Linked DNA regions of Notamacropus eugenii. The protein of the gene in region 4 purifies or fractionates together with the protein of the main gene of each other region. This does not show direct contact. Links are inferred from orthologs where the notes say so. Each region holds a gene or a part of one and is shown on either strand. Other genes may lie near its edges. The genes, in order: DUSP16, DUSP8, MAPK8IP1 and MAPK9.

The links.
Region 1: the proteins of MAPK9 (region 4) and DUSP16 purify together in Homo sapiens (affinity purification with mass spectrometry; 6 studies listed by BioGRID and IntAct, with this or other methods). This does not show direct contact. The link is inferred for Notamacropus eugenii from reciprocal best matches to the Homo sapiens genes MAPK9 and DUSP16.
Region 2: the proteins of MAPK9 (region 4) and DUSP8 purify together in Homo sapiens (affinity purification with mass spectrometry; 4 studies listed by BioGRID and IntAct, with this or other methods). This does not show direct contact. The link is inferred for Notamacropus eugenii from reciprocal best matches to the Homo sapiens genes MAPK9 and DUSP8.
Region 3: the proteins of MAPK9 (region 4) and MAPK8IP1 purify together in Homo sapiens (affinity purification with western blotting; 4 studies listed by BioGRID and IntAct, counting the BioPlex papers as one, with this or other methods). This does not show direct contact. The link is inferred for Notamacropus eugenii from reciprocal best matches to the Homo sapiens genes MAPK9 and MAPK8IP1.

What each region holds. Positions count from the first base shown.
Region 1 is NC_092874.1:198,461,535-198,468,956, reverse strand, and holds the start of DUSP16 (dual specificity protein phosphatase 16), read right to left. Parts: upstream 3,006-7,422; 5' UTR 2,550-3,005; intron 1,844-2,549; exon of another isoform or gene 1,643-1,843; intron 1-1,642. UniProt on the Homo sapiens protein: Dual specificity protein phosphatase involved in the inactivation of MAP kinases. Dephosphorylates MAPK10 bound to ARRB2.
Region 2 is NC_092873.1:26,331,266-26,338,482, forward strand, and holds the start of DUSP8 (dual specificity protein phosphatase 8), read left to right. Parts: upstream 1-4,201; 5' UTR 4,202-6,803; coding exon 6,804-7,169; intron 7,170-7,217. UniProt on the Homo sapiens protein: Has phosphatase activity with synthetic phosphatase substrates and negatively regulates mitogen-activated protein kinase activity, presumably by catalysing their dephosphorylation.
Region 3 is NC_092877.1:4,983,766-4,990,861, forward strand, and holds the start of MAPK8IP1 (C-Jun-amino-terminal kinase-interacting protein 1), read right to left. Parts: upstream 3,006-7,096; 5' UTR 2,843-3,005; coding exon 2,736-2,842; intron 1-2,735. UniProt on the Homo sapiens protein: The JNK-interacting protein (JIP) group of scaffold proteins selectively mediates JNK signaling by aggregating specific components of the MAPK cascade to form a functional JNK signaling module. Required for JNK activation in response to excitotoxic stress.
Region 4 is NC_092872.1:415,957,448-415,965,167, reverse strand, and holds the start of MAPK9 (mitogen-activated protein kinase 9), read right to left. Parts: upstream 3,016-7,720; 5' UTR 2,844-3,015; intron 1-2,843. UniProt on the Homo sapiens protein: Serine/threonine-protein kinase involved in various processes such as cell proliferation, differentiation, migration, transformation and programmed cell death.

The DNA.
Region 1 (7,422 bases), on a different chromosome or scaffold from region 4:
TAATAAGTGATTACTGAATTGAATTGAATCTTTACACCAAAGAACAAGGATATGCCAAGGTTCAGTCCAGGATGGTAGAACTGTGAAACTTTACTCTTCTGTTCTCCCTCTCCCTATCCAATAATACTTTGTTGGAATAGCGATATTCCAATAGTTAGAAGAGAAACACCCAAATGAAACATATATATTGTCAAGAATAAAAGACAATACATTCAACTTTTAGTTACTGTCTCACTGCCCAGAGTCTGAAGACTTTTCTACACTATATTAGTATGATCATAATAAGTTAAGCTCTGAATGTATACTGCTGATATTTGGGTTGACTTTGTCAATGTACAGTAATCACTTTTTCCTTTATTTATATTTACTTATTTTATCAACAGAAATAAGGACCTCAGTTTCAAATTATTTTTTTCCTTTGTGAACTTTTGGTCAATTCAGTAAGCACTGACTGGTTTATCTATAAACTCCATTTAGGGACTGTATTTTAAGCTTTGCTGCAACTCAAAATTAAATGTAATAAAAATGCAAAAATACTAACATTTCATATAAAGTCTTTGTACTTGATAAATTTCTCGACTTAGGAAAAAATGCTTTTATGAAAAACAAAAAAGTGCAGTCCTCCGGCTAAGTCACTTTACAATGAAATTCAATTATTTCCGACTACCATTTCTGCCAATTACACAATCAGTAAGTTTCTCTTAATCATGACTACTTAAATTGTGCATCCACAGATGTCACATCAACTGACCTGTAAGTCTGGATTAGTGTCCATTTGCTAATGTGGTTAATTCAATTAGAACTTGAATGGGAAAATGACTGGTTTTTTGACCTAAGATGAGGCATTGTTACATACTTTCAAGAAAAGGTTGTATTTCTATGATACACACAATCAACCCTATAAATTCCAACATATAAGCAGGCATTCTTCTCCCAGCATGTTTTCCCAGTGTAAGTGCCTCTAGAAAATGAAGTTCTACTAAAATAAAAATCAGTAAGACAAAATGTCTGACCATTTTCTGAATGAGTTTTCTTCATTTTTAAGGGCAAAGTGAAAAATCATCACAAACAGAATCCTGGAGAGGCAAAAGGTTTCAAAGGTTACATCCTGCACTTTCTTATACCCCTTAGACTCAAGGTTGGTGTAGCCCAGAACTCTCTCCAAACCAGGTTGTACAACAGGTTGTTCTCCGCTCCAGAGATTTCTTTAAAAAATAAATTAGGGATTCCCATCTGATGACTTCAAAACACCAGGATGTTTGCCCCTGGCCAGTTAAAAAAATGAATGGACTATTACACTACCTAACTCACAAAATTCTGTGAGGACCAGGTTATAGATTGTTTAAAAAAGATTTTCATTAACCGTTCATCTTGCTAAAACAAAATATTTTAGACTACTCAGTCTTATTTTTCCAAAGTTACTAGCCTCCATTAAGAATAAACCAAACACCTCTGCTTCTTCATTGGTCAGAGTTACAAATACATCCACCTCTAGAACACAAACTTCTCTACTTAGCATCTGAATCTCTCCAAAAACACCTGGTTCCGGGCTACTTTTCCAGAATTATTACCTTACTCCCTTTCACGTATTTATTTGCTCCAGGCCAAATTACCCATCTCCCACCTCCGAGTCTTTACTCACGCTGTGGGTCTCCTACGGCCGAAAGGCACTCTTCATCTCCGCCTTACAGAATCGCTCCCTCCCTTCAAAGTTTAGCTTTAAATCTTTAAATGCCACCCCCTACGGGGCGCCTAAGCCGATGCCCGCAGCTCCACCACCGCGCCCCCTCCCCATCACGGGCAGCCGACCTGCATCCGGGCAGCCCCACTACTTCGTGTTGACACGGTAAATATTTTGTATATTCTGGCGTGCCCACACCCCCCACACACCCCCGGGGAACGTGAGCTCCCCGAGGGCGCCCCCCAGAGCCCGCCGGGTGCCTGGCACACAGTAGGCCCTCACTCTAGGCTGGTCGATGGACCGAGGGGGGAAAGCCAGGGCTAGGACTGGGGGGAGGGAGGGGAGGAAGGAGCTCGATCTCCGAAGGGTTCTACAAACGGGAGTCACGGTTATTGTTACATAAGCCGGCCACCTGAGCCGGGGGTCCCCTCAGAGCGACCATCCGGACCGCCTCTGCCCTCCCTCCGGTCCTCCCCGGCCGGACCCACGCGGGACTCGCCCGCGGACCGGAGCGCGGGGCAAACAGGCGCGCCTGGAAATGAGCAGAGGCGCCTCCCGGCAGCGGGCTCCGAGGGGACCCCCCTCCCCGGCCCCTGCCCAGCCCCGGGAGCCGAGCACCCCGCGGACCCCCCGGCGAGGCCTGCGGGTCCCTCCCCGGCCCGACACCTCTAAAAAAGGGGGGGAGGGAGGGGAAAAGTGAATGAAAACCCCGAGAGCCGCCGCCGCGCCGCCCGCCCCGAGGGGTCCACGCCGCGCCGCGCCGCACAGGCTGGGCCCGCGCCGCCCGCCGGGCGCACGGCTGCGCCCGGGGCCCCCCGCCCGGCCCCCTCCGCTCCCCCTCGGCCGTCTGCCCCGGCACCCCACTTACTTTTCCCCCGCCTCTCTTTGGCGCTCCCCTCGCTCGCCGGGGAAGAAACGAAAGTTGTCACCCGTCCGTGTCCCGGGGGCTCTTCCCCTTCCGAGGAGCCGCCGCCAACGCCGGCCCGGCTCCGCTCCTCTCCTCTCCTCTCCTCCTCCTCCTCCTCCTCCTCCTCCTCCTCCTCCTCCTCCCCCCCTCCTCCTCTCCCTTATTATCTTCTCCTCCGCGAGCTCGGCGAGGGGAGGGGGGAAAAGGGAGGAAACGTGCAGCTCCTCTTCTCCCACCCCCCAACCTGCCCGGAGTTCAGAGGGAAGTCCGAGAGGGTGAAAACTTCGGGAGCCCAAGGAGACTCGCGGAGAAAGTCCGGGGAGGGGGCGGTGGGCAATGAGAGTGTTTCCCTAAAATAATTAAATCTCCCTCCCCCAGAAAAAAACACGGTGATACCCAGAAGTGGGGGAGAAAGGCAGGGGGAGGGGAAGGGCCAGGGGCAAAGAGAAAGAGTCGCTGGTCAGGAAACTTCAAGCGAGGATGAGGTCATTGGTTTAAAAATAAAGCGATGGCGTCACTTGAAACCAATCCCAGTGAATGAACTCAGCAGAGCCCGGGGGAAAGGAGGGGACAGGCGGAGGAAGAGCCCGCAGCGCGGCGCGGACACGGCCGCCCCGGCTCCCCCGGCTCCCCCGTGCCGCGGCCCGAGCCCGGGCTGAGGGCTGAGGCTCGGCGCTTCGAGGAGAGCGGCGCGTCTCCCCTGCGGCACCGGGCTGGGCGCGGCGACGGGCCCCGTCCTTCCCCGCTCGGTTCCGAAGCGGCAGCGGGGAGGAGCCTGTCTGCACAATGAGGCGCTATTCAAATCCGTCGCTCCTCTCTCCTTCCTTCTCTCTCCCTCTAGTTCCCGCCTCTTTCTGTCTTCTTTCCCTCCCTCTCTCCTTTCCTCCCTTTCTCTTTCCTCCTTTCCGTCCCGGCGCCCTCCGTGCCCCCTAGGCTTTCCTGCCCTGAGGACGGATGGTCCCCGGATGTTCCCCTGCCCTCCTCGTTTTCCAGGGGTGTTTTCAGTGGGTTCTTTAACGCCAAGGAAGTTTACGTTTGGGAGCCAGATCTTTTTTTCCCCAAAAAAACCCATAAATCCCAAAGGTTTCTTTAAAACAAACATGTTACTGCTTCCCGTTCGAGTTTTCTTATTTGCGGACCCCCCCGGCCAAACTTCTCAAACCACCGCTGTTTGTAAGGTGAAAGACCCCCAGCCCAGGTTTCCCAAGCTGCTGTCCTTCACGGGGCAGAAGCAAGTAACACATTTTAATGATCCTCAGGCAGTAAGCATACACCTGACAACGTCAAGGACACCGGTGGTGTGCCGTCTCCGGGCGGAGGGCGCCGCGCACACAGACTCCTCCAAAAGCGCCCCAGAACAGGCTTTTTAAAAAGGACAACCAAGTCCAAATGGGCTTGTCTTGCCTTCTGTCTGCGACGATCCTCGGACAGCTGGAGACCCGCCGGGGCGGCACAGACCCGGGCTGAGGACCGCTCAGTCGGTCAATCTGCGCTTTACCTCGGCGCACTTCGGAGTCCTCGCCTGGATCTCGAGTGACAGAGATGCGATGGACGGCTGGGAAGCGCACTGCGAGTGGAGACGCTCCGCTCCGGGAGCCAGGTCCTGCCGGGCGTGGAAAGTCGTCCCGAGGACTACGTGAGGCACTTTCGGGAAGGTGCGGCAATGCTGTCGGACCCCCAGAGTATCATTTTAGCGCCTTAAGGGGTGCCCCAGGACACACGGGGGATTCCAGGCAAGCCAACTGTATTCCCAAAGAATTTATATACTGGGAAAATCCGGCTCATAGAACATATTTGCCTTTATAATGGCCCTCAAGCACATCTTTGGTTATGTGATATTCCTAGGCATAACTCCCTAAAGGACTTTTTTCAATGGGAGAAAGGACTGAGAAACTTACTAGGCTGACAAAGGAGTAAGGAAAGGTTTGTTTTTATAAACTCACCGACTAGATGGTTACTATTAGTCCTTAACAACTGAGCCAGTCCCTGGGGGAACATCAAAACTGTCTTTCCTAGGCGGTGGTGTTAGTGTTTGTCACCTCTCAAAGGGGACGGATGACCTTAGGAAGGTGATGTCTTGACTTGGCAGTAAATTGGATTTAAGTGAGGGAGGGGTTGTGCAAAGTCACCAGCCTCACTGTTTGCTCCAGAGCCGTCATCCAGGACAAGTGGAGATGGCTCCAGAGCAGTGGGGAGACCTTGACCTTTTTAAGCTAAGGTCTTTCTGAAGTCTCAGTTTGTCTGACAGAACACCCATTCAGTGATTAAGGCTAGGTAAGGAAAGGGGAGGAGAGGGGACAATGGCCTATTTTACCTAGTTTTTTTATTTTAATCAGTCTGAGAGGGGAAGACCCTCAGAGCTTCTGGCCAAAACAGGAACAATTGCTCTTTACACTCATTCTGAGCCATCAAAACCCAGGGACCAAGTGAGGCTTGGGCTGGAACTTATTGGGCCAGTCAGTGAGAGCCAGAGGGATTTGGGTTTAAGGCCTGGTCCTTCCCTAGGCAGGAAGTGAAAAAAAACTTAACTTAAAGGGGGAGCAGGGCTAGGGGAAGAGAAGAAGACCATCAAGTTGACTGACATGTCCATGGCCCCTGGTGGCCAGAAGATGTCACTGTAGCCTCTTCAGCCTCACTTAAGTGGAAATAAAGGTACACCATAGAGAACCTTGTGGAGCTCTCAGATCTAAAGGCTGGTTCAGAATTTCTTCAGCCCTGTTCATTTCCAAGCATCAGCACAAAGTGGTTGGAAAACAGATGTATTTCAAATCCATTAGATTAAAGAAGTGGGCAGTGGATAGAGTGCCAGACAAAAGTCAGGAAACCTCATCTTACTAAGTTCAAATCTGACCTCAGACACTAGCTGGGTGACCCTGGGCAAGTCCCTTAACCCTATTTGCCTCAATTTCCTCATCTGTCAAATGATCTGGAGAAGGAAATGGCAGACCACTCCAATATCTTTACGAAGAAAACCTCAAATGAGGTTAGGAAGAGTCAGACAGGACTGAACAGTAATAACAAAGGTTAAGTAAGGATCTATGGAAAATGGGGGGTTTCAGGTGTAGAGATGGGTGTCAAAACGCTTTTCTGGTACATACTAGCTGTGGGACCCTATGCAAGTCCCTGAAACTCTGTGCTCTAAGCAACTCTAAAATTATATAGAAGTTGCAAAGCAAGTGCTGATAATAATAACCAACATTTATGTAGCACTTTCAAGGTTTGTGAAGCATGATCTAAATTTGCAAAGCATATTTTACATATGTGTATCTACATCTTTATTTACATACTATATATACATATATACACATACACATATATCACTTAAGAAATGGCTAAACAAATTGTGGTATATGAATGTAATAGAATAATGTTGTGCCATAAAAATATATATATAAACATATACATATGTGAATAAATATACATATATGTATTCTCTTTTGAGTCTTACAACAATTCAGTTAAGTAGATGTTATTGTCCCCACTTTACAGATAAGGAAAATGAGACTGAAAGACATTAAATGACTTGTCCAGTATAGCACTTGAGCCATCCCACCACTTCTACAGGTCTGGTCCAGAAACAGAAAAAGACAAACACTTGATAAACTTAAGGTAGATGAACAACATTCAAAGCTAAGAAAGCAGTATGTGGGGAAGAGCCAGGACAAATTAATGGAGCACTCTTCATAGGTTGTGGTCTGACTCTCCTACATTAACTGGCTCACTCCTTGGAACCCTAAACCTTATACCTCATTCATTCAACAAATAATTAGAGATGCTATCAAGCCAATGCCAAGAAATATAAGATGTAGGCCATGATTATTGATGGAAAGAATGCTAAATCTTAGAATGCTAAACAGAGGACCTGTTTTCAAGTTCTGGCTTTGCCACTTGTAACCTGTTTGACCTTGGGAAAATCATTTAACCTCACTTGTTTCAGTTTCCTTATCTGTAAAATGAGGGTATCAGACTAGATGATCTCTTGGTTGGTTGTTTCATTCTCAAAGAGGATCAAAATGACATCACTATGCTAGAGTCAAGTTACAGTGTGCCCTACCATGGCTGATCAGACCAACATGAGCTCAGAATGTTCTACCACAGATCAGGCACAGATAGCCCATTTGGGGTGGATTCTATAAATTTAGGCATCTCGCGTTTTTGTTTTTGTTTTTGAGCTACTTCAATTCTGCTCTCCTCATGGAGCACAGCACCTTCTCTGATGAGGGCACACCATGCTGTGCAGTCCTATGCCAGTGTCTCCCATGTCACACAATCAATACCTGAAGTTCTTAATAGAGACCATAAGAGTATCTTTGTATCACTTCTTCTGACCACAATGGAAGTGCTTGCCATGTGTGAATTGGCAAATGTACTTTTTGCATTCAAACATGGCCAGCCCACACTCTCTGTAGTAGAGTGTGAATGCTTGACAGTTTAGTTTGAGAAAGGACCTCAGTGTCTGATATCTTATCCTGTGAGGTGATCTTCAGAATCTTCCTAAGACAATTCAAATAGAAGCAATTCAGTTTCCTGGCAGGGCACTGGTGTACTGTCCAGGTGTCACAGGCATACAACGAGATCAGCACAATGGCTTTGCAGACCTTCAGCTTGGTGGTCAGTCTTCTGACCTTTTCTGACCCACACTTTCCTTCAGAGCCTCCTGAATACTGAGCTAGTTCTGGCAGTATGTGCGTCAATTTCATTGTCAATGCTTACATCCTTGGAAAGTACACTACCAAGGTTAAATGAATTTATCCACAGCATTCAAAACTTCAGTTCTTCCCAATGGACACCTGTAATCCTATGATTTCCCCCATCCCACCCTCCAGGAGCTCAT
Region 2 (7,217 bases), on a different chromosome or scaffold from region 4:
CCTACAGCAGAGGGGGAACTAGGGCACACGTGTGTCTGTGAGCCTTCAGCTGGGTGGAGGGGTCCCTAGATGTGAAGTGAGGGCCTGTATGACCCACCTTGGACAAGGAGCCAGTGCTCTCTGGTCTCAGGAGCCCCTTCTTTTACATGAGGGATGAGCCAGCTCAAAGATACCACCCAGCCCTGACACTTACTGTGCACCTCTGCTTTGGTGTGGTGCTGAAGCGGACAGTGGGAGATGGACTGGGATGATCTGGATGGTGGGGCATGTTCTTGTTGTCCAGGATGTAGGTGTGCAGAAGGTTCCTGCGAGGGCACGATCTAGACCAAGGGTCGGTCGAGGGGAAGAGATCATGGGGCAGTGTGTCTCTGCTTCTGGGGAAGGTCCCTTGGGCTGATTCTTGGCCCCCAGCCTCCCTGCCCTAGGAGGGGCCTTTGCACTGCTGCAGTCCTAGGTCCTCCGTGGCTAAGAGGCATGAGGGGCTTTGTCCCCTCCCAAGAGACACCTTTTGTGGGTGGCATGGAAGGGGGCCAAAGGCCCGTCTGAGCTGGGTACTGCCTAGCAGTTCCTGAGAGAACTATAGAATGGTAGGGTCCCCAGCTTGGGCCAGTCATTTTTTTTTGGACGTTTGTCTAGGACAGACCTAAATTGATCACTAATGGATCCTCTAACACTTCTGCACTAATAATCGCTCTCCTCTGGACCCCTGCATGGGTTGACCCAATCGAAAAAGGTAGGACTGGAGCAAAGGTTGGCTAGGGTCAGGACAGGCCCAGTAGAGAAGCTGGAAGGAGACCCCCACCCTTGAAAGCTGGAGAAAAGAGGCTGGCAGGGCTGATTAGAGCAGGCCTTGGAAACCCTTCAGAGAGCAGAGCCTTCAAGAGTAATGACCCTGAAGTCTGGCAGGCTGAGGATTTCAAAGCACTTTTCTCATAAGAGCCCTGAGAAACAAAGGATATCAGAATTTTTCTTATTTTTCAGAAAAGAAAACTGAGGCTCAGCGTGATTCAGTGGCTGGCTTACCCAGGGCCTTCCAGCTAGCCTACAGTTGGGACTCAAGGCTGCCCAAGATGGGTCATGGATGAGAGATGTTGGAGGCAGGGAAGTCAGTTTTGGAGGTTGTTGGCATTGGATAATAAAGTGGTGAATGATAGAAGGGTTGGGGGGGGGAAGACTCCGCTCAGCGTTCCACATCCTGCCCATGCCTTGACATTGGCCATTCCCTCCCTCATCACCTGGAGAACCCCTCCAGCCTCCTCGAAGGGACCTGCTTCTCACCACACCTCCTTCCCCTCTCCAGATTACTTGGAATTGACTTCCCTGGGACCAGCTTTGACCATTCCCCAGAGCCCCTGGTGAAGAGGCTCCCCCGACCAGTGCAGGGTCAGTCTACAGCTTGGTCTTGGAGAGGAACCCTGGGACACACAACTGGAGACAGACTCAAACCCCATGCTCAGCGATTGCCTTCCTCTCCAACAGTCGAGTCTCTGTCCCTGACCCCCCAATGGGATGGAAGCTTATTGAGGCTCTTCTCCACTTTGTCTTTGCATGCCCAGCCTGGAGCACAAGGTGCTTAATCAGCACTCCTGAATGACAGGCTGAGGAGCCAGGCAGTGAGGAGCCATGGAACATTCTTAAGCAGAGGAGAGCCTTGATGAAACTTTTTGTATTTGTTTCTTCTGCATGGGTGGAGCTCCTCCTACTGTTCCTCTTGTGTTATATCAAACTAGCTCCTCTGTATTTTGACTTGAGCAGGTCCATGGGTGTCAGCATCTCTCTCCCTCATTTTAGCTCAGAGGACCTCCCTCTTGCAAGACTCTGGGAAAGTCTCCTCAGGTGCAGCCCCTCATGCCTGTCAAGGTGTGGCTCAGATGTCTCCCAGCCTGCCTGGCTCAGCTTGACTCCAGTGGGCACAGGGCTACCCAAATTGTACCAGACAGGACCATTTAGGCTTGAGCTCAGAAACTTGTCCTAACCAAAAGATCTATGCCAAAGAGGTGGGAGGGGGAAGGGGGGAGGTGGTGAGCTCTCCTCTCTGGAGGTCTGTGCTTGTCAACTATTGAACACTGGAGGCAGAGGTGTGTTCCTCCAGGGCTCTGTGCTAAGACCAGCCATTCACATAGGAAAGGAAGCCTGCTCCTGCCCTCGATAAGCTGACATGCCACTGATGAGGAAAGGCAGGGAGACATATAATTACATGTACATTCATATGTCTATACATGGGACACATAAGCCAGCTTCTGACTTGGAGAATGAGGAAGGACTCCTGCAGGAAATGCTGCTCCTCCTGGAGCCAGGGCCTTGGAGAGTCAAGGCTGGGGAAGAGGGCACGTGCCAAGCACAGAGGCAGCATGAAATAGGAAAGAAAAGGGCAGATGTGAGGAGCCACAGGCAGGTGCATTAGAGAACATGGAAGGGGAGAGATTCCAGTCATCAGCCTGGATCCCAAAGAGGAATCTGGATTTGATCCTGGAGACGCTTGATCAGGGGAGCCTGTGCTTTGGGAATCTCTACATTTCATGTGCAGGGTGGATTCTTGAGGGTAATAGCGAAGGTCATTTAGGAGGGAGGCCCATGTGCAGTGCCACTGGTAGTAGTGGGAGAGACAGACAGATCCAAGATGAGCCACTGGGGTGGAAACTAAATACATGGGGAAGAGAAGCTGAGACCCCAGTGATTGGAGGGATGCTGGCGCCCTTGGCAGAATCAGAAAGGTCTCGGAGCAGAGAGCTTGGGGGAAGGCTGGGGGCTGCCAGTGGCCCCCCCACTGCATCCTCCTGCAGTCCAGGCATGCTGGCATGAGGAGGCTGCTGCTGTGGTTGCTATGACTACCACAGAGGTGCTAACTTGCTAATGAGTCCCCTTGGGCCACAAATAACAGTATATATCCCAGTTAATTGGCCCAGGAAAGATTCCTTGGGACTACGCTGGAGGGCAGAAGGGAGGCCAAGCCTGGCCAGGGGACTATGGGTTTAGCTGGGGGGGAGGAAGTCACTTGGGATAAGGTCATCTTCAACAGAAGAGGCAATGGAGCTTTCTTAGGGGGTCACAAAGTTGGGATTTGAATCCAGACCCTTTACTCTACCGATGACATAGACCAGGAAAAGCCTGAAAGCTGAGGTCAGCTCCTGCTGTCCACAGCACCAGGGTGGGCACTCCATGATGCACAGCTGCCATCTTGGAATGTTTAAGGACTGAGCAGGCTCAGAGGGACAGTCACAACCAGGGTCCTGGTCAGAGACTCCCCAGTTCAATCCTAGAGGTGCTGACTCATCAGAACTCCTCTGGGAATCTTTTTGTTAAGTGCTTGGTTTACAGGAAGGGGGAATGGGCAGCAGGAGAGGAGGGAGAAGGATTACCATCTTCATGGAGAAGGGACCAGGTAACACAAACAATTGCTCCTGCCCTAAAAGGACTCCCATTCTCCTACAGGACATCCCAAGTAAACACAAAAGAAAGTAGGAGGTAAGTTTTCAGAGTGCTAACCCCACCCAGAGAAGGGCTCTTAGAGATGCTGAACCCTGAGAAGAGCTAAGGAAGGAAGGTCAGGAGGGGTGGAGCATAGTACGTGGAAAGGAGGGGTATGAAATCAACTTGGCTAGATCGGTGGGTCCAAGATGCTGAGGGGTTTGAATTTTACCCAGGAGACAGTAGGGAGCCAGGGTAGATATTTGAGTAGGAGAGTGACCTGGTCTGAATCTTCTGTAGGAAGATCTTTGGGGCAGCTGTATGTAAGATGCACACCAATTCCTGCCTCACATCCAGGAAAGAGGGGATAGGTGTCTGACAGGGAGTGGTGGCCATGAAGGAAGCTAGAGATGATGGTGAATACTGAAGGTGTTGTGTACTTGACCAGTCTGGTACCTGCTTGGGTGTTGGGCTGAAGCCAAGGGAAGGTCGCAGGTGATTCTGAGGTTGAGTTCCTGGAGGGCTGGTGGTGCCCTGGGCACAAAGAGGGGGTCTGGACAAGGGGCAGATAGGTGGCAGTCTGGTTTGGACCAGAATGTGGGACCTCAAGTGGAATGGCCAGCAGGGAGCTGTTGGGGTGGGCCCTGGGTTCTGGCTGTATTAATTTAGGTATCACTGGCATGGAAATGATCATTGAACCCATGGGAACTGGTGAGAACCAGCTCCTTGGGCAGGAGGAGGGAGTGAGGGGTGGGGGAAGGCTGGGGGGGAGAGAAGATATTTGGGGGTTGAGGTGAATGAGCTCAGCTGTGTTTGTTATTTTGGTTTTTAAATTTTACTTTATTTTGTTTCCAAATGAGAATCTACCTCCTCTCTCCCCTACCTTCTTCATCTCTCTCACTTTGTGAGCTTGTTGAGGGCAGCCCACTATCTTTTGTCTCTCTTTGTATCCCAAGGGCTTGGCATACAGTAAGGGTTTAATAAATGTTTTCTGATTGACTGACATCCCCAGGGTCACAGCTGAGCCAGGAGGCATCAAAATTGGCATATGAGGTCAAGGCTTTCCCATTTTCTGGTCTGGGTCACTTTCCACTGTACTCCCTCTTCTGAGCAGGGTCTGGTCTCTTCTCTTTCTGGGCGTCACTTTCTTCCTCTCTAAAATGAGGTGATTAGACAGCATGGTCCCTGAGGCCCATTTAGCTCATAAAGGAGTCACTCTGGAGACCCTTCTTGGAGGACCCCCAGGAATTCCCAGGGCCTCATGAGGAAGAGACCAGAACCATCCACCACCCAGAATAGGCTGCCTTGTGGAAGTGAGCTCTCCATCCCGCTGAGTGCTGGTGGGCTCCCTGGCCTTGTCCAGCTCTGAGAATCTGATTTAAAAGGGAGGGGCAAGGGGAGGGAGGCCTCCATTGCCCCCATCTCTGAGGATCCAATTAAACACTGTTTGTAAGGCTTAGCAGCACAGTGCTTGACACATATAAAGAGGTGATATTATGATGATGTTGAAAGGAGAGCTGGAGGGCCCCCTCAGAGCCATCTGTCCTTCTACTTGGGCTGTGCTCAATGCCTGCATTTCCAGGCATGCTCCCTGCTCTTTAGAGCCTGGCTTGAGGTCAGCAATGCAGCATCTTCTCTCTTTTCTCCTCCCAGTCTTGGGAGGAGACAAACTAAGTCTGTCTTGCCTTGGCTTTTTGTTTTGCTTGGACTTCTCTGTGAATAATGGAGGAGAAGCCCCTTGAGGGCAGGGACAGTCTCTGTTTGGCCCTTATTCTCCCTCCTATACACACACGTTAATAAATATTTGTCCAGTGAACGCCTCTGCCCGTATCCATTTGTTTGCCAAATCTCTGTCGCTCTTTCTCTGTTTCTGTCTCTGTCTGGGGAGGGGGAGAAGCAAGAGAATGAGCATTTAGGTGGCACCTCCGAGGTTACTGCCACTGTGCTAAGTGTTTTTAACAAGCCTCCTGTGCCCATCTTCTTCTCCCCCCCCCCCCTCCTCATCACCTCACACCTGGACCATTGCAGGAGCTGCTTGGGGGGGAGGGGGGCCTCCTGTCTCAGTCTATCTCACACTTAGCTCAAAGTGACCTTCCTAAAGCAACCTCTGACCTTGTCACACTGCTTTGTCGCAGCCCTTGCTGAGCCTTGACCTTTCTGTAGTCTTCTGCACCCTTATGTGCATTATGTGTGTCCCCAGAGGTTGGCAGCCACAATTATCCCCATTTTATAAAGGAGAAAGCTGAGGCAGAGATCGCTCAAGTGCCTTGACTTTGACCACACAAGTGGTAAGTGTCAGAGGTACAAGCCTCCTGACACCTATTCCAAGCCTCACTCAAGGGCCCCTCGGCAAGTCCAGTACCTCCACTTTATAGAGGAGGAAACCAAGGTTCATGGGGGTTAGGATGGAGTCCAAGGGCAGCTCTGCAAGGTGTACACAGCCACCCTTTCATGCCCTCTCTGGCTCCTTGGCTCCAGCCCCCATCTCCATGCCTTTGTCCTGGCTCTCTTTCAGGCCTGGGGTGCTCTCTTCCCTCCCCTCTGCTTCTAGAATCTTTGTCTTCCTTTGGGGCACAGTAGCATCACCTCCTCCAAGAGTCTCCTGGCTTTGGGTCCTAGCTGCATCTCCACCTCCCCACATTGTGTGTGTGTGGGGGGTGGGGTGGAGGAGGGAAAAGAGAGAGAGATCAGAGAGAGAGAAAGCAAGGAAATCAGGTGCAGGTTTGCCAGCCAGCCCAGGGATAGCTGACTCAGTGTGTCTCCTCTGGGCTCGGGTGGTCTGTGTGCTGAGTGTGGTAGGTGGCCTGATCATGGGCACAGGCTCAGTGGGTGAATGAGGTGGGGGAAGTGCAGGCATTCCTGGACTCTCCAAGGCCCACCAACCCTGCTGAGGTTGGAGAAGAACCCCTCAGGCTGAGCTTGGCAGGGCTGGAAGCCTCTGGGCACTAGCAGTTCTCCGAGGCTGGGCCCTCCCCCTTGGGGGGGGGGGGCGGTCCTGGCCATCCCGGCACAGAATTGAGGATTAGAGGTTTATGCTAATACTCCAGCCTGGTCACCCTAGGAAGATTACAGATTGCATTAACTGCAGACTGCCAAGGGATCTTGGTAGTCAAAAGCCTGGGGCGGGGGCAGGTCAACCTCAATTCCCACCCCTACCTCCTGGTTTATGGGTAAAACAGAAGGGAGGAAAGATGGAATAGCTTGTGCCCTCCCCTCGGAGCACCTGGGGATACACCTGGGCTCTTCCTAGGCCTCTGATCGAAGGGGCAGACTCCCCACCTCACTGGGTGACTGGCTGAGTCTTGGCACTGTGGCAACAGCCTCCTCCTGGTCTCTGGCTCAGGGAAACCTCAGAAATCCTGCAGGCAGCTCCCCAGCCCCACTCCGACTGCTCAATGGTGAGCGGAGCCCAGGAGCCCAGTGGGCCTGGCCAGCTGCTGATGGCTCCCTCTTGTCCCTCTCTGCAGGTCTGGCACCATGCGCAGCCATCCTGGCCTCTAGCCACCCCTCGCCCACGCCCCAGCAGCAGCATGGCTGGGGACCGGCTTCCTCGGAAAGTCATGGATGCCAAGAAGCTGGCTAGCCTTCTGCGCAGGGGAGCCGGGGGGCCCCTGGTCATAGATAGCCGCTCCTTTGTGGAGTACAACAGCGGGCATGTGCTCAGCTCGGTCAACATCTGCTGCTCCAAGCTGGTAAAGAGAAGACTACAGCAAGATAAGGTGTCCATCACAGAGCTCATCCAGCCAGCGTCCAGGCTGAAGGTAGGCAGCCCCTCCCTGCTGGGACAGGAGCACAGGATGGCAGAAGCA
Region 3 (7,096 bases), on a different chromosome or scaffold from region 4:
GTGACCCCTGGGAAAGTCTAGGCTGTCTTTCACTAACTTGCTATGCAGCTTTGGGCAAGTCAATTAGCCTTTGTTTCCCCATCTGTAAAATGAGAGGGTTAAACCAGATAATTGTTCTAGTGCCTTCCAATTTTCTAATGCCCTGACATTATCTAATAAGTTTATAAGTAGCTATGAAAAGAGAAATTAATTTAGTGTCAGGATATTTGGATTCAAAATCTAACCTGCCACTTACCAACTCTGTAACTGTGGGCAAGTCATTTAAAGGAACAACTTATTTCTATTGATTTATAGGAGTCTATTCGTTACGGAACAGATGCAAGTATTATTCTTATTTTACAGATGAGGAAACTAAGGCTCAGAGGAGCCATTTGTCCAAGGTGATATCAGTAATTGGTTGAGCTGGAATTTGAACTTGGGGCTCCTAACCCAGATCTACACCACAATGCCATGAAATCTTAATTGTGTCTCAATTTCCTCAAGTGAAAATTGGGGTGACAATACTTGCTCCTCCTAGTTCACAGAGCTGTGAAAGAAATACTCTATTGACTGTGAAGAGCCTGGTGTCACAGCTACTGTAGGGATAAGGATGGGGGAGGGAGAGGGTCAGGGAGAAAGAAGTTGAGAGGATTTGGGAAGTGAGAGCAAAGGGATGGTGGAGGGGAAAGGGCAGGGAACAGCTTAAGTACAAAGTGTGGCTGATGCCTTGAAGCAAGAATCTTCTGCCTTGGAACTTGGTAGATCATTGTCCTCACACACAGCTGTCTGCACCCCACTTCCTTCTGTGCAGATGGGCTCCACAGAGCCCTCCACAGTCTTTATCCCAGGCCTCCAGGTCGGGGATACTATCTGGGGACCCTACAGGGATCCACTCCATGACCTCAGTCTCATTAGCAATGAGACTGCCACTGTGGCTCAGGTGCTCCTCTCCACTCCCATTCCCTTCTCCAGACTGGAAGTCTCAAGGGCCCCTGTGGCTGGAAGGCACCATTAGTGACCCTCCTGGGGGCCTTCAGTCTCTGACATGTGCTAGCAGGAGGAGACAGACACAGACACAGGAACCTTCAGGCACTGGGCCCCAGCTGGGATCAGACTGCCAGGCGGGGGTGGGGGGAGCTAGTGTCCAGGGAGAAGGGAAGGATTATTAGCAGGAGAAAGAACAATGATGTTTATTTGAACCTTTCTCCAAGGATCTCCAAGCACTTTGAAGACGTGCTGCTCACTCTCATAAAACTCCTGAGGTTGGGGTTGGGGGCAGAGTGGTGGTGGTGGAGGAATGACATTATTCAGTGACTGGAATTCACACCTCCCACTTATCTGAACACACATACGCTTCCTACTCCCCGTTCCCCCCTTGACCTATACCCTATATGTTCCAGGGTCTGTTCCAGGGCAGGTCAAAGAAGGAAAGAAGTTCCAGACATAAGGGTCTTTTATAAGAATCTTCCAGACCCAGTCCAGGCTGAGCAAAAAAACCCAAAAAACCCTCTGAAAACAACTTGACCCTTCTGATCCTGAACCACCTTCCCAGGATTGCTTGGAGCTGTCAATGATGGGGGTAGAGGAGACAGAGAAAATAGCCTTCTCTCTCCTCCTTCCTCTTCCTTTGGCTATCCTCCCCAGGTGAAATGTCTGCTAAGGGACCGAGCTCGGCCCAAGTAGGAGAGATTCCCTAGGTCTGGGTCCAGTCGGGAAGAGCTAGGATAGAGACTGGTGGTGCAAAGGGGGTCCAGAGGCTACCCTGACCTCTCTTTCTTTCTCACAGAGCGGCTGGGGAGAAAGTGGTTCAAAGAACCTCTGTCTCTCTCCAAGGTGCTCAAACCTCTTTTTACTCGATCTCCCGCCATCCGAGCTCCCACTCGGTCAGACCCATTTGGGGAAGTTGTCAGGCCTCCGGGTACCTCAGAGATCACTCAGGGAGATTATATCTAGGGCGCTCTCCCTACTCTCCTGGGGCCCTCCCATCATTATAGGCTCCTAAGATTTAGAACTGAAAGGTATCTTAGAGATCATTTGGTCCAGTCCCTTAGATTGATGAGGAAGCTGAGACTCAGGGGGAGTGACTTACCCACGGCCACACACAATGAAAGAGCAGAGCTGAGTTGAAGCCTGGATTTTCTTACTCCAGATTCAATGTCCCCACCCCCCAGGATGTCTAGGTTAATCTTCCTTCACCTCATATACGGTCAGACGGAGGCCAGCTTTGCCTAGCACAGACCTCATCTTCCCCATAGTGGTGGTGGGGGAGAGACAAGGACACGTGGCTCTGAGGCCCCTTCATTCTAAGGGCCAACCACCCGCCCAGAGCTTTTTCTTTGGGTTGGGGAGGCATTTGCCACCTTGGAACTCCTGACACCACCAACCAAGGGATAGCCGACCTTCATGTGAGCTGGCGATCTGGGTCGCAGGCCCAGAACCTCCCCACCACGGTAGAAGACCCCCGCCCACTGACCCCACCTCCAATTCTGGCGGAGAGGAAGGAGGACCCAGAGACAGTCTGGGAAATGGCATCCGGAGTCCCCTTCCTCCTCCTCGGTGCCCCAGCCTCTCTACCCGAATACCCACCCTCGCCCCTTCCAGTCCAGCCCCAAGGCGGAAAGGACTTGCTCCTGGGGTGGGGGGAGAGGCCGCTGCCCTGGGTAAGGGAGAAGGGGATCCCTAGTTACCCCGGGGTAGGGCGAGCAGCGGAGAGTGCATGGCGGGGATGCGCGCCCTGGGCCCCTAGCGCTTCTCACCTGAAATTGGGAGGCGACACGATATGCAGCCCCAGGAACGGGGAGGCCCCAGGCGTGGACGCGGCGCCCCCGCCCCCGGCGCGCCCGCCGCTCTCTCGCTCCGCCATTCTCCCGGCGCAGCCCAGTCCATCCGGGCGGGCGGAGCGAGCCAGAGAGGAGGAGGAGGAGAAGGGAAAGAAGGCGGAGGAGGAAGAGGAGAAGGAGGAGGAAGAGGAGGAAGAGGAGGGGGAGGAGGAGAGAGAGGGGGAGAAGGGAGAGGAGGAGAGAGAGGAGGAGAAGGAGGAGGGAGAGGGGGAAGAGGGAGAGGAGGAGGAGGAGGGAGAGGGGGAGGAGGAAAGGGAGGGGAAGAGAGAGAGAGGAAGAGAGGGAGGGGGAGGAAGGAAGGGCGGAGAAGCTGCTGCTGTAGCCATCAGGCTCCCGGAGGGGAGGAGGAGGAGGAGAAAGGGGCGGGACGCACCTGCGGAGGGCTCGGCTCCCGAGTCTGGGGGCTGGGCATCCGCTACCAGGCAGCGCTGGGTGAACTTAGGGCAGCCGGGGACTTGGTGAAAGCAGGGGCTGGAGAGGGTCGCGGCGTTGGAACTGGCCGGGTGGCAGGGACACCGAGGGACCTAGAGGGGAAACTCTCTCCTCTCCTCCTCGGCACTCCTGCTTCCTCCAATAGCGCGGGGTAGCGCCCCCGCCGCCGCTCTCCAAGGTGCTGAAGCCTCCCATTCCCTGGTTACCTGCCATTCTCCACCCCCACCTTGTCCACCGTATTTTGGAGTTGTCAAACCTCAGAATATCTCAGAGATTATTCCCATCCCTGGGGGGGGGGGGGGGGGGGGGGGGGGGGGAATGCAGAATTACTGAGATTTAAAAGCCTGTTGTTTATGCGGGACCTGCACAGTCTCCTACCACTGGATCTCAGATGGAATGGAAATAGCCCCAGGTCTGGAACCTCGTCTCTGCCTCTCACTCTCCATGGGACCCGAGACAGGTCCCTTTCTCGGTCTGGGCCTCAGTTTCATAATATATAAAATGAAGGGATTAGACTACACCTTCTCTAAGATTCCTTCACTTTGGAAGCTGTACAGAGAAAATGAGAAAAGGAGGGGAGGCAGGGCAAAGGTCATCCAGATTCATGTCTTCCCACTCGGACCCATTTCTTCCTCAAATACCTTGGATAATATTTGGTCCCAGAAATCTGGACTCTACTATAGGCTTGAGTGTTAAAGGCTAGAAAGGACCATAGAAATCAAGTCCAACCCCACTTTACAGAGAAATGTGGGCTGGTACAACTTGCAAGGCCCCACAGTTTAAGGGGTGGGAAGGCTGAGTTGATTCCAAGGACAATGCTCTCTCCCCTGCATCAAGCTTCCTCTTGCCCCCCCTCCCCCAGAGTGTTTTCTGGGCCTCTGAAGTCCCCTTCCCAGCCCTGACCCTTTCCCACCTCCTAGCCCCAGATCAGTCCCAGACTAGAGACACTGTATCCTCTCTTTCCTAATCCGAGCCTCCTCTGACTTCCCCACCCCCAAGGCTGTCAGCAATGTCTGATTTTCTCACCTCACCGACTCTCTCTCAGCACCTTGATAGCATTTGCTCCTTGTAAAGGGCTCTTCTCTAGGCTAACACACTGTCTTCTCTGCCAGGGCACAGGGTCTGCCTCCTGAATACCAACCCATTAATTTCATGATCTTCTGAGTTTCATTTCTCTCTCGGGTTCTCCTACCTCTTAGCCGTTTGGGATTTTTTCTGAGTTATATTTTCCCCCCTTTTCCCCCCACTGACACAAAGCCTTGGCTGAGTAGCTCCTTCCCAGTATACCTACTTTGGTTCTTCCCTCTCCAGGGACTGGTGCCTATGCTGTTTGGGCCCTTGGAGCTCCTAACATCCCCTTGATGAGCTTCCTATGGAAATTCATCTAACAAGCCAGCTTATTGCTGTGGGTGTTGGCAAAGAGCAGAGCCCCTGAAGCCTGTACCAGGCTCCAACCCCACAGGTTGGATTGTATCTTTGGATCTCTTTGTCATCTCAGCATCCACACCTCCATACCCCCATGTGCCCCAGAACAGCGTCCTGCTTTCTCCTGAGAAGTCTGGCCCCAGAAAGCACCTTCCCCAGAATTCCACCCGAATAGGTTTCTGCTAATAGAATAAATGCTGAACTTGAAGTCAGATCTGGTTTCAAATCTTGTCTTTGCCACCTGTTTCTATGGTCCTAGGCACATAACTACATCTTTTGGGGCCTTAGTAAAGTGAGAAGGCTGGACCAAGAGAGATTCCTTCCACTCCTAAACCTAGGAATTCTGTAGGACTTGAATGTTGTAACCTCATCCCTTCCTTCTGGTGTCTGTTAGGATCCCCATTGCCTACTCGATGTGCAAACTCCCGATTCCAGCATTCAAAGTCCTCCCCGAGCTGCTTTTTGGCCTTAGCCCACTTTGCATCCCTTCAGTCTCCATCTACACTGACCCCTCAGGTGTCTGTGCTTCTGCTCATGGTCTCATACCCAGAATGGACTGTTGGCTAAGGCTAACTCAAGTGACACCTTTTCCTCTGCAGAGCTCTCCAGTTGATGCTGACCTTGTCCTTTATCCTTGTCGTTTGGGTTCTTGTCCTTTCTACCCTCTGACTGTGGGCTCTGGGAGCTCCTTAGGCACAAAGCCGATATCCTACTTTAGACTATGAAGGCCTTGCTTAGTCCCTGGTATGTAATAATTGGTGCTTAATAAACATTTGTTGAGTTGGTTGCTTGGCACAAATCCCCACAGATACCTGCTCCTCGGATGTAACACTGCTAAGAACAGTCAGACTGAAAGCATCTGCAGGGAATATCCATAGGATCCAACTCCTTGGGTGGCCCACTCCTCTCATCCTGAAGGCTTAGGAGAGGCCCTTTTCATGGCATTGCTGCTAGAAAATCAGGCCCGCCTCCTATGGGCCTTCTCAGCCTCTGTAGTGGGATTCACGCATGCCAATGATTATTTCTGGATGTATGGGTATCCTGGAATCTGGACCCTGTGAGGCCTTTTGGATGAAATAGGGAGGTAAGGATTTCCTTCCTTCTGGGCTCTATCCCCCACCCATTTAGGGCTTAAACTGGACTTTATGCTCTAGAATCCAGATGAGACACAGATCAAAGGAAAGCTAGCCCAAGGTTAGTTTAGAAAGCGCCATTGCTCAAAATCAATGCCAAGAGTGGGGGAAGGACACCATCATCCCCACTGGGCTATGCCTGGCATCTAAGGGCCAGGGTTTGGCCAACCCAACTTATCACAGTGACTAGAAAGTTGAAGGCTGGGTTGCCAGAGCACTGTGCCATGGCACCACTGGACCAAGACCAGAAGCATGCCATCCTATAACAGTGACTGAGGCTCCTCAGGCAGGTGCTGAACAAACTTTTCCTGATAAAGTTTCCCAGCAGGTGTATCAACAAGGCTGCAGCAATATTCATACCGGGCCAAAGGCTAGTACAGAAGCATGCCAAGACCCCACCACTCCCCGTGGGGATGCTGAATTCAAGGTTCTCAGACTCCAGAAGAAGCCATGGATTCCAGCGACCCCTTTTCTCTTCCCTTGAGGGTGCTATGGCTCTACTAAAGTATCCCACCCTGGATTCAGGCTTGCAGTTAAGCAGGATTTGCCTTCCCACAATTTAGAGTCTGGAGAACAACCTTCTCCATCAGAGTAGTGGCAGCCTTGCCCACCCCCACTCTTGGCGGCTGCTAGAACAGATGGGACAGGCACAGCACAGGCAAGGTCAGACGTTTATAAAACAAAGATATATTTTACAGGCAGACCACGGGAAAAACACCATACCTTTCAAACACAGAAGTCTCTGTGCAAAGGGCACTGGGCCCATTGCCATCAGTCCCCATGGTTCCCTTAGGAATGAGCTGGGGAAAAGCTTGGGGCAGTGGGCCCCAGAGGCAAGTCTAAGGTAGAGAGGAAGGAGGGCTAATCCAAGCCTGGAGAAGGCTCATCCTGCTCCATCTACTGGTCAGACTGGGGACAAGCTACAACCACCAATAAATTAAGGAGAGGGTGGGGTAGAGGAACTGGAGGTTTTGCTTTCTTCTTTGGGGGGAGTACAATCTTTGAATGAGATGGGGAGGGACCTCGACTCCCACTCTGAGGACCCATCTTCTTGCACATTTGCCATGGTCCACACACCATCAGGCTGGTCTGTGTCCTGTCAGCAGAGAGCTTAGGGCCCCGTTCTACTGAACCCCACTTCCCACTGCTCCCTACTCTTACGACCCACTCTGGGACAGACAAAGGGCATTTCTAGAGGAAATGAGCAAGGTAACAGCTGAAGGGTGAGGGCAGAAAGGAGGCCCAAAGCTGTGGGGGAAGGTCAGGAGGGGGCAGTGCATGAAGCCA
Region 4 (7,720 bases):
AAATAAATGACAGAAAGAACCTGAATGTACCAAAATATTCCTAGTAATAGTATTTTCAATAGTTAAAAAGTAGAAACTATGTGCCCAATGACTAGGGAATGGCTGAAAGAAGTTCGGTATATAAATGTAGTGAGATAGTACATCAGAAGGAAACAAAACATATGAAAAATTCAGTGCAATGTGGAAATACCTTTAGTCAAGAAAGCCAAATCCCTGCCAAATTTACAAGATCCCTCATCTGTAAAATGAAAGAACAGGACTTGATGGACTCAAAGTATCTTCCAGGTCTAAATTTATGATCCAAAGTCATTGTGTATTAAAGGTAACACGAAAAGGCAGCAAAACTAAAGCTAAATACAATAGACAATGTTGATTTCAAATTATTAAAATTAAAGCATGTATTCTTAATTTTTGTTAAACAATAAACCACAAAAATAGAAAATGACATGTATTGTCAATTGAAACCACTATATTAGGTAGCATTGCTTAACTTTTTATAGGGAACTATGGGGGCAGATAGAGTTTTAAGGAAGTCATCCTAACAAAATATGTTGATATAAGAAATTATAAAAATAATATGAGGAAGTACCTGGATTAATAAGGGAATATTTAAAATAAGGTTAAATGTACATCAAATGCTACTTTAATATTCAATATTTAATTTCTTCAAGTGTTAAGGAAATAGGTGAATTATTCTCAAGGGGATGTGACTTTTCAAACTCAAATGCCAATAGAAAATCTGCATGAATTCCTTCCCCTTCCCTACTCTAACTTGGCAAAATTTCACAAGATTTTAGACAATTATTTAGATTCTTAGTACAGTTAATAGCATATAAGAACATGTATCTATTCATTGTTACAATTCAGTTACTAAGGCAAGTATGTAAAAAAAAGATATCCTATTTCTCATATGCTTGGGAAAATAGGCCTCACCACTGTTAGACCAGTAAATATTATAAAGAAAAAAGAAGTTGAAATTAAAGCCTGAATTGTGCTTAGCTCTGGAAACTTTGATAGAGACTGATAAATGTTCTGTATGTGACATCTGGGTCAATGAATTTCAAATGCTATGAAATGGAATAAATGTGACTTGAATTACTATTGAGACAAATATGAATTTACCTAATATTTAAATGGTCTGATAATTTGATCTTGTTTATTTAAATTGGTAACAGTTTGAGAATAAAATGACATGTTCAAGAAAATCAAAATTTCCCCAGGGAAGACCACTAAAATGGGATTTTTAACTTATAAGGAAGACCTCTGAAAGGAAAAAAAATTACATTGTAAAAATAAAGAACCTTAACTGAATCAGGGTTAAATGTTTTCTTGAATTGTAGCAAATTACTGGCTAAAAGATTGTCAGTGTTAACATTCATCTCACTATTGGTTCTGGAAATTTACCAACAAAAGGAAATGTATCAGGATCTAAAAAGTAGCAACAAATCAGGCAGAACAGGGGGGAAAAATTTTAAGAGGTCATTTACTTAAATCCACATAAAAGTTAGTCTGAAATAAGATATTTCAATTAAGAGCCAAATCATTTCTGCTGTTAAACAACCCTAAATTTCTGCTTGAGATGAGCAGACAAGGTTCTTCCTGGAAGACATTTCTGCCTCACTCACTCACTTAGCCTACCAGGTTCCCTAGGAAGAAACTGGGAAAATATCTAATTCAAGATGCTTAAAATGTACTAATGCTGATGAGGGGTCCACAGGAGCAATAATACAACTTTGCCTAAGGCCTCAGTCCCTCATTCCAGTTCTCTACAAATACTGTTCAGCACAGAGAGTCTGAGAAACTGGTGGATGGTAAGGCTCCTAGGAGATATGCCAAGAGGGTCTGACCAGGGTTTGATTTCCATTCTGCGTCTTGCTAAACTGTGTGACTTCAGGCATATCATTTAAGACCTCTGAGTCACAGTTCCCTACTCTGTAAAATGGGAATAACTCGAGCTCTACCTACTTCCCAGGGTTGTTGGAAGTCAAACACTTTACACACTAGGACTAATGTGAAATAGGGTCACTTACGGCTGAGTCTGCTATGCTATGCAATTCTTCAATGATAACTGAAGAATCGGGGGAAGAGAGGAGGCTTCAGTCTAGGTGACAGGTATGTTTTCCTCATTTTACCTTTTCACCGAATGAGTGTGAGGGAGGGATGAAAAGCACGAGCACTTCAAGATCAAGCACAGGACTGTGGAGTGGGAGGCAGTGGTCCCCAGGGAGGCTCTAGATGGGGGGAGGGGGAAAGAGGAAGCCCAAGAATGACAGCTGGGAAGGGAGGCACCAGGGCTGCACACAGGCGTACCTGGGTGTCCCGCAGCCCCAAGGGGGATGGGATGCGAAGATCTGGGGCTAGCGGGGTCTTGGGATCGTTGAGGCCAAACCCCTCGTTTTACCGAGTGCCAAAGAGGAGGCGGCAGGGGCCGGCCCAAGGTCACGCAGGCAGGCGGGGCGGGAGAGGCGGCGCTGGGGTCCCGCCTCGCGATGCTGCGCCCCGGACCCAGCCTTGGCCCGGCTCCGGCGCTGGCACGGGCGCGGGTCCCTCCGGCGCCTCCGACAGACAGAATGCGGCACTCTCCGGGCAGGGAGGAGGAGCGGGGCGCGGTGCCAGGAGCAGCCGGCCTCCCGGGGCCCGCAGCCCGCCCGGCCCTGCCCCGGCTGCCGCAGCCCCCCGGGCCCAGCCGAAGGCTCGCGCCCTCCCTCCGCCCCCTCCCCTTCCTCCCAGGAGGACCCGGCGCCTCACTCCCCACCCGCCTTGGGTCCCGGGTCCCGGCCCCCGGCTCCCCGTCCGGGGCTCGCGCCCCGGCCCGACCACTCCCCGCCTCCCTGCCGCCTCACCTGCCCTCCCCGCGGCTGTCTGGGCCGGCGGGCGGGCGGCGCTCAGGGCTCAGCCCCAGCTCCCGGGCCGCCGCCGCCGCCGCCGCAGTGGGTGCGAAGCCGAAGCTGGGAGCCGAGCTCAGGCCCTTCCGCTCATGGCTCCGTCTTCAGCAGCCGGGGGCCCAGCTCGGCGGACCGACGGGCACCGCGGCCAATCGCTGAGCGCAAAGCGAGGCCCGGCGCAGCCAATCCTGAGAGAGGGCGGGGCCCTGGAGCCGGGGCTGCCGGGAGGGCCGCCTCTGGCCGGAGGTGTGGCTGGCCTGGGCTGGACTGGAGGGGGGGCCGTGGACCTCTGCTGGCAGGTGTTCTAAACCCTCCTCAGAAGGGAACATTGATCCCGTCACCTTTGATGGACAGAGAGGGCAAGCCAGGCCCACGTCACCTAGCCGGTGTGGGAACAGGTAGACACCTGAACCCAGTGGGCTTACCTGCCGGTTAGCTCATTCATTCGACCCGCATCGATGATTCGCCTGCTGTGGACAAGACTGTTTTCTCTCTGCTTTTCTTTCCCTACCTGTTTTCTTGGTGAACTCATCAGCTTCCATAGATTCAGCAATGATCTCTGCGCAGAGATGATAGCCTATGGGCAGCTGGTGGAGTTCAGGAAAGATTCGAACCGAATACGCATGTATTATATACAATATACGTATACATAATTTATACAGTGCACGTACTCACCTGTGTATTCAGCTCTAGTCTGGTACCACCAGCTGCCAACCGGATATAAATCATATGCCCTTCAAGCACCTCAAAGTCAACATGTCCAAAACAGAAGTCATCATATTATCTTCCCTCCTACCCCCATGCCACCTGTGTTTCCCTATTGATGTCATGGTCCTCTTCAAAAAACGAAGGACGAACACAACAACTGATGGTCTCTCTTTTCTCCCAGTCACCCAAGCCTTCCACATTAAAATCATTTCCTAGGCTTCTTTAAGAAAAATCTAATTAAATTTTATTTTAGTTTCAAATCCTAATTCCCTCCTTCCCACCTTGCTCACCCCCACCCTTCTGAGTCCCTATTTTCCCTATCTCTGTTGAAGGAACCACTGTTCTCTCAGACACCTGAGGCTTCAATCTCATCCTCTTGTAAAAAAAAATTCTAATTAAATTTTATTTTATTTTCAGATCCTCATTTTTCTCCTTCCTATGTCCGGAGCTCCCCCAATTGAAAAAGCAAGAAAAACAAAAACTCTTCTTACAAACATGAATAATCAAGCAACATTGGCCAAGTTAAAAATAAATCTCAGTCTATATACTTTGAATCCATTACCTCTCTATCAGGAGGTTGGCATCATGTTTCATCTTGAATCCTTTGGAATTGTGGTTGGCCATTGTGTTGAACAGAGTTACTAAGTCTTTCAAAGTTTTTTGTTTGTATAATATTCCTGTTATTGGATGAATTGTTCTCCTGTTTCTGTTAGCTCCGTATCAGTCCATACAAATTTTCTGTCTTCTACTCTTTGATTTCACCCTCACCCCCTAAATCGAATAAGTTGCCAAATCTTGTTGAGTATACCTCCAAAATCTCTCAAATCTATTCCCTTCTATCTACTTACATAGCCACCCCTGGTTCAAGCCCTCATCGCTTCTTGCCTCTACTATTGCAATAACCTTTTAATTGGACTCATGCTTCCAGTCTCTCCTCTAATATATTCTCTACATAGATGCCAAGTAAATATTACTAATGTTATAATAATAGCTAGCATTTATATAGAACCTCCTATATGCCAGGCACTCCTATGTGCTAAGTGCTCTACAAATATTGATCCTCAAAGCAACACTAGGAAGTATATACTATTATTATCCTCTGTTTTACAGATGAAGAAACTGAGGCAAGCAGAGGTGAAGTGATTTGCCCCGGTCCACATAACTGATAAGTATCTGAGGCTGGTTTCAAATTCTGGCTTTCCTGACTGCAGAGAGAGCACTCTGTCCAGAGCCACCTGCACTAGTAAAGGTCTGACCATAGTATTACCCTGCTCAAAAAGGTTTAGTGGCTCCCTGTTGCTTTTAGGATAAAATACAGCCTCTTCCTTTTGGCTTTTTAAAGTGATTTGCAATCTGGCTTCAGCTAAGTCTCCAGGCTGACAGCACATTACTTCCCTATGTGCACTCTATATTTCAGCCAGACTGGCTTACTTTTTATTTCCCATACATTCATCTCCCTCAGACATACCTTTGCTTAGGCTATGCTCCATGCCTGGAAGGCATTCTCTCCTCACTTCTGTCCCAAAGACTCTGTGGCATCCTTTAAAACCCAGCTCAAGTGCCACCTTCCAGTTACTAGAGCCCATGAGCCCCCAAGAATACTTTGTAAATATGTTGTATTTGCCTTTTTGTGTACATGCTCTTCCTTAGCCAATAGAATATAAGCTCTTTGAAGGCCAACACTGCTCCCTTTCTGTTGTGAATCCCCAACCCTGGTACAATGATTGGCACAAAGGAGGTGCTTAATAAATGCTTCCTGAATGAATGAATGAACAAACAAATGAAAGGGAGAGCATTTTAGACATGGCAGTTGGCCTGAGATACATAATAATAATACCTGACACTTTAAGAATATTTATAAGATGCTTTACATGTGTCATCTTTTTTGATCCTCACAACTACCTTGTGAGATTAGTATGACCTCCCCCATTTTGCATGTGAGGAAACTGAGGTTTAGAGAGGTTAAGTGCTTTGCCTATGTTGTATGATCATATAATTAGTAAGTCACTGCGTTGGGATTTAATCATAAATCTTTCTGGCTCCAATGTCAGAGCTCTATCCATTACCTTGACACTGCCACACCGATTAAATCAGAACAGTCAGTAAGTAGTCCATTTGGACAAGAAGCAGAACTCATGAAGGAGAAGGATGTGATATAAGGCTGGAAAGGAAGGTTGTAGCCTGAATATAGAGGGGTTGACCTTTCAAAGAGAAGGGCCAACTTGACCTTTAAAAATAGTCATGGAAGTTGAGGTTGATAAATGAGTCATCAATGTGAACACTGGTCACCAACTATGAAGGCTGGTGTTGAATTAGAGAGGAAGACTAAGTCATTAGGAGAGATGGGAGAGTGCCTTAGAGGATGGACAATACAACAAGAATTTTTGAGCACTTACTACGTGCCAGGTATTATGTTAAGTGAAAGGGATGCAAAGACAGAATAAAGCAATCCTTTCCCTCAAGCTTATATTTTATTGGCAGAGAAGGGACAACATGTACATGCTTAAATAAAAACAAAATATATACAAAGTTGTTTCTCCACCCCCCCGGGGGAGCAGAGGTTTATTGAGAAGGGAAGTTTATTAAAAACAGAATAAAACATTCCATCTAGCCAAATGTGGTAGAAGTAGTACCTACAAGAGTCTCTGCCTTGTAGATTAAGCTAATTTCTTTCCCTAAAAAGCAGGAAAGCCATTTCTAAGACTTGATCAATCATTGAATTCTTTCTGTAAGCAATGATGGTATTGATTTGATTACAGTTCCCAGACAAGAGGTGGAAAGTGGGAGGACTGGTACAGCAGTACATCAGATAGGTGTCATAATGGGTCAGTTGAGTAGAAGCTGCCAATCCAGGTTAGGAAGGTACATGGCAGCAGTCAAGCACACCATGACAAGAAGATGGTTATAGTGAGGTCCCTGGGGCTGGTGTTGAAAACCAGGAAAGACTATAGTCTAGTAGTTCAGATTCAAGATTGAAATGAAATAAGACATCTATAGACCACCTAACAGTAAGAGAAGTTTTGTTCTGCCATATAATAGAAAGGGAGCAGCAAGGTGGCACCACAGTGTACAGAGTGCTGGCCCTGGAGTCAGGAAGACTCATCTTCCTGGGTTCAAATTTGGTTTCAGACACTCACTAGCTGTGTGGCTCTGGGCGAGTTACTTAACTCTGGTTGCCTCGGTTTCCTCAGCTGTGAAATGGGGATAATAATGGCCCCTACCTGGCAGGGGTGTTGTGAGGATTAAATAAACCCTTGGCATGATGCCATTGACAAGCATGATTGACTGAGAATTGGCTGATCCTGACCTGGTTTAAGTTCCCAAGCCAATGAATTGCCTGGGGCTGACCAAACATTGTCACTCTGGCCTCTGATTATTTTATAAATCTCTTAAACTCTCCCCTCTTCAGATTCCGTACCTTTCTTTAAGACCTTTGCATGGTATAGAAAACAAATTATCTGGTGATACTGTGAGATACCTAACCCCTTCCACCAGTGACCACTGTCATTCTCTCTGCCTTGATATTCTATGTAAACTCTGTTCCCAGCCCCCTTCCTTGGGTACCCTAGCACTTGCTGTGCAGTACTGCAAGCCACAACTCCTTTGTCCCGATTAAAGACCTCCATTTTGTTGTATTGACTGTTTTCATTACAATTTCAGGTTGACACCATGCACTTAATAAATGATTGTTTCTCCCAGTGCCAGCTCCCCCAAAAGAAAGTCAGGGCCTTTGAAGGGTGAGAGCCAAAAGCATGAAGAAGGGGAACACTGGAACTTTTCAAAAGTTTTACATTTAGGATGCCACAAGGATTCAAACAAAGACACCTTTATGTGCATATATTGGACTGTATAATAAAGATACTGAGACAGCAAAGAGATTGGGAGGAAGTGTAAGGTGTTTGAATTCTGATCACTTGATTAAAGAAAGAAAAGGAAGGAGAGGCAGGAAGTTGGATTTCTACTTAACACCTTCTTTGAGACAACAGCTGTGCTTAGTTTCTGTTTTCATTTCAGCTTTGGCAGAAACCTGCTAATTACGGATCAAAGCTGCAAGTAGTCTCCTGGAGTAAGAGTAAAGCCCAATACAGATAAAAGTATCTCTTCGGAACTACTGACAATTAAGCCCC